2 linked regions of the Oryctolagus cuniculus genome follow. The protein of the gene in region 1 interacts with the protein of each later gene in a pairwise test. Links are inferred from orthologs where the notes say so. Each region holds a gene or a part of one and is shown on either strand. Other genes may lie near its edges. The genes, in order: KPNA5 and ANP32B.

The links.
Region 2: the proteins of KPNA5 (region 1) and ANP32B interact in binary tests that used the Homo sapiens proteins (3 or more experiments, as listed by UniProt). The two-hybrid records come from large-scale screens. The link is inferred for Oryctolagus cuniculus from reciprocal best matches to the Homo sapiens genes KPNA5 and ANP32B.

Annotation. Positions count from the first base shown.
Region 1 is NC_091436.1:53,689,728-53,693,530, reverse strand, and holds part of KPNA5 (importin subunit alpha-6), read left to right. Parts: intron 1-1,666; coding exon 1,667-1,798; intron 1,799-3,668; coding exon 3,669-3,757; intron 3,758-3,803. UniProt on the Homo sapiens protein: Functions in nuclear protein import as an adapter protein for nuclear receptor KPNB1. Binds specifically and directly to substrates containing either a simple or bipartite NLS motif.
Region 2 is NC_091432.1:201,785,585-201,790,075, forward strand, and holds the start of ANP32B (acidic leucine-rich nuclear phosphoprotein 32 family member B), read left to right. Parts: upstream 1-1,661; 5' UTR 1,662-2,019; coding exon 2,020-2,073; intron 2,074-4,491. UniProt on the Homo sapiens protein: Multifunctional protein that is involved in the regulation of many processes including cell proliferation, apoptosis, cell cycle progression or transcription.

The sequences.
Region 1 (3,803 bases):
TGATCCCTGTTCAAAATAAAAGCGAGTATAAGAAGGGAGGAGCTGTACAGTTTGGCACATGTTCCCTTGGACTTAACCCTGAGGGTAAAGCTAAAAACTTGCCATGGTACTCCAAATCCTATTAAGTTGGCGGGTACCAATGCCATCTTACTAAAGTGATCAGTTTAAGTTCTTTTTTTTTTTTTTTTTTTTTTTTTTTTTTTTTTTTTTTTTTTTTGACAGGCAGAGTGGACAGTGAGAGAGAGAGACAGAGAGAGAAAGGTCTTCCTTTTGCCGCTGGTTCACCCTCCAATGGCCGCCGCTGCAGCCGGCGCACCGCGCTGATCCTGGCAGGAGCCAGGAGCCAGGTGCTTTTCCTGGTCTCCCATGGGGTGCAGGGCCCAAGCACCTGGGCCATCCTCCACTGCACTCCCTGGCCATAGCAGAGAGCTGGCCTGGAAGAGGGGCAACCGGGACAGAATCCGGCGCCCCAACCGGGACTAGAACCCGGTGTGCCGGCGCCGCAAGGTGGAGGATTAGCCTATTGAGCCACGGCGCCGGCTTCTAAAGTGATCAGTTTAAGTTCTAAATAATGTCGGGGTCTGTGGCCTCAAGATGCTTCCATAGCCTTGGCAGCTCATGACAAGAGCCTTGGGTGATCACTGACGTCATAAATAGGACTGTCAATTGTTAAATCAACATTAGTCACTGTGCACTCACTCCCCATTTAGGACCTCTGTCCTTAATGTGTTGTACTATAAGAATTGACAGTAAAACTAATCTTCAAACAGTACTTTATATTTTCTGTGTCTGTGTGTGCAAACTGTTGAACTCTTTACTGAATACAGAGTCAATCTTCTGTGTATAAACATAATTAAAATGAATCTTAATGAAGAATGAGATAGGAGAGGGAGTAGGAGGTGAGATGCTTTGGGGGTGGGAGGCTGGGTATAGGGGGAAGATCCACTATAATCCAAAATTTGTACTTTTGAAATTTATATTTATTAAATAAAAGCTTTCTATAAAAAAGTAATATATCTTATTTATATAAACTACTTGCTGGAGAACACTTGATTCTCAATAATAAGCAGTTTTCTGAAGTATAAATTCAAATGTGTTTATATTTTCCTTATATTCTGAGTTCTTTTTTTTCCAGAGTGAAAAAACACTTTTTTTTTTTTTTTTTTTTTTGACAGGCAGAGTGGATAGTGAGAGAGAGAGACAGAGAGAAAGGTCTTCCTTTGCCGTTGGTTCACCCTCCAATGGCCACCACGGCTGGTGCACTGCAGCCGGCGCACCGCACTGATCCGAAGGCAGGAGCCAGGTGCTTCTCCTGGTCTCCCATGGGGTGCAGGGCCCTAGGACTTGGGCCATCCTCCACTGCCTTCCCGGGCCACAGCAGAGAGCTGGCCTGGAAGAGGGGCAACCAGGAAAGAATCCAGCGCCCCTACCGGAACTAGAGCCCGGTGTGCCGGCGCCGCTAGGTGGAGGATTAGCCTATTGAGCCGCGGCGCCGGCGGAAAAAACACTTCTTAATTAAGAGTTTCTATATAGGAAATCCAACTTCACAGTGAATCTGAATAATCAAAATCAGTCTTTCTTTTAGATTTGTCTAACTAAATCTTTAGTCTTTTCCATTCTGATATTTCTTTGGTGTTTTCATTTATTTCACTTTTTGTCTCTTTAGTTTGAAGCTGCATGGGCATTAACTAACATAGCATCCGGAACTTTTCTACATACCAAAGTAGTGATTGAAACAGGGGCTGTTCCAATTTTTATCAAACTTCTTAATTCAGAACATGAAGATGTTCAGGAACAAGTAAGTTTCTAATTTATACTGTTTTATGAGCTATATTTAAATTTTCAAAGTACCATTTATGATTATATTCCACTTTTGTATCTAATTGCCTGTACTGTGCATTTATTAAAATATAGTAGTTTCTTTGTAGTGCATAATTGTAAGAGCAATGAATTGTCTGAGGCATAATCCTGGATTCCCTGTAAGTGATCTCATCTAGCACAGGAATTACTATTCCTATTTATAAAGCACAGTACTGAGCCACAGAAAAGTTAGTAACATATCCATCATAGGGAATGGCTGAACCAGGTTTTAAACCGGGGCTAAACTGACTCCTTATTCTTTGCATGTATGTGGATTATTTTGTTGTTACTTTTAAAATATCATTTTACTTTTAATAGAACCATTTTCATAAAATTCATGAATAAATTTGTTACGAGGGAAAATTTAGTATTATATAATTGTACTCTTCTAAGAAAATCAAGTATTGGCATTTTTGTTTTAAGCCTTTCTTTTGTTTTGGAAGCCTTTCTTCTGGTGTTATTCTTCCAAGAAAATTTTACTGATTAATTAATAAATCCACTTAGATATGTACCATATTCTATCTAGTCCTCAATTGTTGTACATTTGAGTTATTTTTAACGTCATATTCTTAAGGAAAAGTGATGAACATCATTATTTATCCATCATTATTTATCTTTCTTAATGTGCCTTTATATTGGTTCATTAGGGAAAATGACTACTCTGTCAAAAGATAGAAATTTCTTAAGACTCTTAGTAGCCTCCAAAGTTGACCAACAATATTATTCTAAGTAATGTTCCATCAGCAATCTATTATACTTCATGGGGTAGATAGTATGTTTACTTTAAAGACAAGCTTAGTTCTACTAGAGTAGATGTTAAAAATATTAACTCATGTTTTAAATGTTAAAATTAAAGTTTCTCAGTTGAAGAAATAACATGTATTTTTGTATTTATATAAAATATTTAAGTGAAAATATATTAAAATGATAATTTGCAAAATTTCTTATTTAAGTGAATAATTTGACATTTTGCTGTCATTCGTTTTAAAACATATAGTGAAATCTTAATCCTAAATTTATTTTCAGGATCAATCTAAGCTATTGCCTCATTTTTCTTTGTCTTTATTTACTTTTGTTATTTTACAAAACAGTCCCTTTTTTTTTCTTTTTTTTTTTTTTTAAGATTTAGTTATTTAAAAGTCAGAGTTACACAGAGAGAGAAGGTGAGGCAGAAAGAGAGAGAGAGACATCTTCCATCTGCTGGTTCATTCCCCAATTGGTTGCAATGGCCAGAGCTGCACCGTTTTGAAGCCAGGAGCCAGGAGCTTCTTCTGGGTCTCCCACGCGAGTGCAGGGCCCAAGGACTTGGGCCATCTTCTGCTTTCCCAGGCCATAGGAGAGAGCTGGATTGGAAGCAGAGCAGCTGAGTCTCGAGTGGGCACCCAGATGGGATGCTGGCACTGCAGGCAGTGTCTTTATCCTCTGTGCCACAGTGCTGGCCCCGAAACAGTCTCTTCTAATAAGAGAAGTTCTTGGCAAATTTCTAGTATAAGTAATTGGAAAATTGACCAGATAGATGGTTTTTGTCTCTCTATGTGGATTCAGAGTTGACAAATTTACTTTGTTGAATAGTACTGACATTCCACTGCTTTGGAAGAAAACTTTAAAAATACTCTCACTTCCAATTTCATTAGAAATAATATTAAATTAAATTTTGTAGATTTTCTTTTCTTATTGCCCTGGCTTTTAATTTCATATATTGTTGAAAACTATTGCTTTGTTCATTTTGTATTAAAATTCCCTTCTTAGAGAAAGCATTTTATTTAAGGTACTATTTTAAAATAACACTTTTTTCTTGTATTGCTAAGGCTGTTTGGGCACTTGGTAATATTGCTGGTGATAATGCAGAATGCAGAGATTTTGTTTTGAACTGTGAAATACTTCCACCTCTTTTAGAGTAAGTACTTTATTTAAATTTATTATAACTAAATTATGACTCCTTT
Region 2 (4,491 bases), on another chromosome or scaffold:
GTTGGCCAGAGAGGGGACAGGCCCTGAAGATCTGCCTGATGCTCCCTGAGCCACAATGTCACCTCCCCCTCAGCCACTAGGTGACCACACTTTCTCTCTGAGCTACCGCTTCAAGGCCCGGCCAACATCTCCCCTTTACCTGCAGGCTGTTTGGTCCTGAACGCCCTCTTGTCACTGTTCCCAGCCTACCACACCAAAGCAGGTCCCCACCCCGGGACTCCACTCTAGCCAGACTGATGGTGCAGCTTTGACCCACCAGACCCGCCTAGTTCCACCTCTTGGTGGGGGTACTGCTTGCGGTTCCTGGGCCTCGCTTCTCCATCGGTGACATGATGAAAGGGTCACCTGCCTGACAGGGTTGTCAGGGGATAACACGAGAAAGAACGTAGCAAGCCCCTAAAGGTGCATGCTTGGTAGCTGCCTGTAATTTTTTGATAAAAGCCCTCATTGCCTGGTTCCCAATGACAGGTCCCCAGGTGCCTTCCCGAGGAGCACACCCCTCTCCACTTTCCCTCTCCACGGCTGTGTGGCTGAGACTACAAGGAGAGGAGGAAACTCCCAACTGGGAAGATTCGCCTCTTTCCGTAATCCTTCTAAAACGTCCTCTTGAAATGAGAATTCATTATCATAAAAACTGATATGTAATTGCTTCAAAACTAAGTTTGGGCTATTTATAGTCTGCCACTTGGGTAAAACCACGGGGGAAGGGGCTTCAGTCCCATAAAACTATCTCAGTTAATGCATGGAGTTTTTTCTGTAAAAAACTGCCTCTTGTCCACACTAGAAATAAGAAGGTATCCGACTGCACATACCATGCTGTTTATTTACTTTCTGCTGAGTATAACTCTACGGCCCGGACCTGGGGCTCTAACCGTGGGACCCCTGGAGCCGGAGCATGACAAAGGCGGCCTGACAGGCGTCACCAAAATGGATACCACCGAGACTCGGCGTGCCTCACGGGGGGCCCTAGGTTGTAACTGCGCTAGACGTGAGCGGGGAGAACGGTGTAACTGCGAGGCCCCCCCCACCCCCCACGCCGCCCCGCGGAAATGCTCATTGTTTCCTTCGGAAGTCCTCTCGGGCATCAAAATGTCAGAAAAGCGAGGGAGAGCCTCCGCGGCGGGGGGACGCTCGGCGGCTCTGAGGCTGAGGCAGGCGGCCGGGCCCGGGGCCAACTCCGCCCGCTGCCACGCGCTGCAGCTCGGGCCCGCCGCGATGCCGCCCACCCCTGGGTCCTGGGCTGCGCGTCCGACGCCACCCGGCCCAGGAGGCGCCAGGGTTCGGGCCGTCGGCCCCCGATTGTGCAGGGGGAGGGGGTGGAACGGAAGGGCGACCCCCAGGCCCCCGCGCCGAGTTCTCTGCCCATCTCGCGCCTCCGCGGGCGTCGGGGGAGCCTCCGCGGACCGACTCGCCCCTCGCGACCCCCGATCCCCGACAGGAGGGCCTCCCGCCAGCCCTGCCCCACCCCATCGCAGAGCACAGCGAGGCGGGCCGGGGGTCTCGGCCCGGCGGCAGGCGGAGAAGCCCCCGAGCAAGGTCTTACATCAGCCGCCCCACGTGCAGGCGGAGGGAGGGAGGAAGTCGCTCCCCTCCCCGGGGCTGCGCCTCCCCCCGCCCCCGCCCCGCCCTCCCGCCGCGCCTCCCCGCCCCGTCCTCGGAGCAGCCGCGGCCGCGGAGCCGAGCGGCGCCGCGCGGGGCCGAGTGGAGCCGAGCAGCCGCCGCGCCGCGTCGCCGGTTTAAGCGCAGTGCGAGGCCGCGGCCGGGGGCGGCGGTAGTGAGAGCAGCGCTGCGCTCCAGCCCCCTTTTCCCTCCATGGTTTCTCTCCGCTCCCGTGAGTAACTTGGCTCCGGGGGCTCCGCTCGCCTTGCCCGCACGCCGCACGCCGCCTGGGACCGCGCCGCCGGCCTCCGCCGCGAGCAGACCCCCTTCCGACGGCCTTCGCTGCGCAGGCCGGGACGCCTCTCCCCCCTCCGCCCCCGCCGCGGAAAGTTAAGTTTGAAGAGGGGGGAAGAGGGGAACATGGACATGAAGAGGAGGATCCACCTGGAGCTGAGGAACCGGACCCCGGCAGCTGTAAGCAGAGCCCCCGTCGGGCGCCCTTTCCCCCCCGATGACTTGCATGTAATGGTGGCCACCTGCGGGGGCCCCGGGCCGCGGGTTCGCGGGCTCCGGCGCGGGGAAGGGCGCAGCTCGCGGGCTGGGACGGGGAAGGCGGGCGGGCGGGCGGGCGCGGGCGGAGGGGGGGAGCGAGCGCGCGGGGATTAACTCTTTGGCGCCCGCGGGCCCTCGCGGCCGCCCGGGGAAGGCGACGGGGTGAGGGAGCGCAAACTTTGAGCTCCTCGCCCGCCGGGGTCCTCTCCCGGAGGGAGCGCGTGTGCGTGTGGCCGGCGGCGAGAGAAGGAGGCGGGGGGTTGTGTAACGCTGGGAGCCATGTTTGCAGCCTCCCGGGATGCGCGGCCGGGCGGAGGCGGGCCTGCCCGGGAGCCGCGCGGCCATCCCCGGCTGGGCCCGCCGCCGGCCACGCCGGACTCCGCACGCCCCGGGCCGGCCCCGGGAGCGGGAGCCGGCGGCGGGCAGGGCGGGGGGCTGCGCCGGCCGGGCCTCGCGGTTGGCGTCGGCCCGGCCGAGGGCAGGGGCCGCGGGGGCGAGCAAGGGGGCTCTGCTCCTTTGAAGGGGGCCAGAAGCCCCCTCGGGCGCTGGGGGGCCCGGGCGGGCGCGGCCTGGCGCGCGGAGCGGGGGAGGGGCGGGCCTGGGCGGCGGAGGTGGCGCAACCGCCGCCCCTCCCGAGGCCAAGTTTGAAAAAAGGACGCGGTTCCCGCCATTTTTCAAGCCTAAAAATAAAACTTTCTCCCCCATTGCCCTCGCTCTCCTTTGAGACGCCCTCAGCCATCCTCCCTGCGGCCCCCTCAGGGCGGGCCACGGGCAGGCGTTGTGGCGGCGGCCGGGCCCTCCCCACCCCCGCCGTCGCAGTCGCAGTCGCCGCCGCGGAGCCCGGGGGCCCCTGCCCCGGGAGGCTGGCCCCTCGGTGTGGGCGGGCGGCGGCCGCTCGCGCCAGCCCGGGCGCGCCACAGGCCGCCACAGCGCCATGTTGGCGGGCGCCCGTCTCCCTCCGCCGCGTGAGGCGGCCGGCCGAGCGGCTCGGAGCTCCGGCGCGGCCCGCTCGCCCTCGCCCGCCGCGCTTTCCCGGGCCGAGCCTTCGGTGTGTCCCGTCCCGCCGGGGCTCGGCTCGCACTGGCGGTCGCCGCGCGCTACGGCTGCAGCCGACTCGTCCCCTCGCGGGCGCGCTGCCGGCGCCCTCCCCCCTTCTTAAAAGGGCAACGGCAGGCCTGGCGCGCGGGCGTTCGCGCGGTCTTGGGGCCGGCGCAGGGCCGTGCGGTGGCCTGTGCCCCCGCACGTGCCAGGGTGCGGCCTGCCGCGGCCGGCCTCGGGCCGCTGCTGCGTGTGCGTGGGCCCGGCCCGGGAGCGTCGCCTCTTGTATCGCAGCGAGCGCGAGCCCCCGCGTGGAGAGGCGGCGCGCGGCCGCCCGAGCCCGCGGCGGGTGAGTCGCTGGCGGCAGGAGGCCGCGTGGCGGGTGCTCAGGTGGCTGTGGTTAGCAAGTTGCACACTTGGTGGGATCGGCCGACCGGGCTGTTTACCTGCAGGCCTTGAGGTCAGCGGGCGCGCGTGGTGGCGCCCTGAAACCCCGAGTTGGGTGGGTGGCCTTTTGGCGGGTGTCGGGGTCGAGTCAGACATTTTGTGCCCGCCACGTGCTGCGTGTTGCGTGGTTAGACACCTTGAAGAGCTCGTTCTCACCTGGAGGGCTTAACGCCAGAGTTTCCATTATTGCTTGGAAGTTGGGAATCAATACAGTATCTAAATTTAGCCAAAATTCCCCCTAAGAAAGGTGCACACATAGGTCTTTTTTTTTTTTTTTCTTTTTTTCTGCCAGACAGTGAGAGAGACAGAGACAGAGAGAAAGGCCTTCCTTCCGTTGGTTCACCCCCCAAATGGCCGCTACAGCCGGCGCTGCGCCGATCCAAAGCCAGGAGCCAGATGCTTCCTCCTGGTCTCCCATGCAGGTGCAGGGGCCCAAACACTTGGGCCATCCTCCACTGCCTTCTGGGGCCACAGCAGAGAGCCGGACTGGAAGAGAAGCAACCGGGACTCGAACCCGGGGTGCCAGCGCCGCAGGCAGAGGATTAGCCAAGTGAGCCGCGGCACCAGCCCAGACATAGGTCTTTAAAATCTAAATTTCTGGATTCTCAAACCAAAAGCCTGCTAAAACGCTCGGAGCAAGTAGTTTTCTCTGCTAAATAAGTGCCACTGCTGTTCCCAGTCCATGGTGCCCTTTCTCATATGGAGCAGTATAGCTTTAAAAATATGTGTGTGTGAAAGTATTAGTTTTTTCAAGTAATCAGTTTAGTTTTTGACCACCTTGCCAAGATGCGTGTGACTATTAAAGTTTTAATTAGGCCAGTCGTTGGTCCTGCCCCATTTTTACTGTTCAAAGAG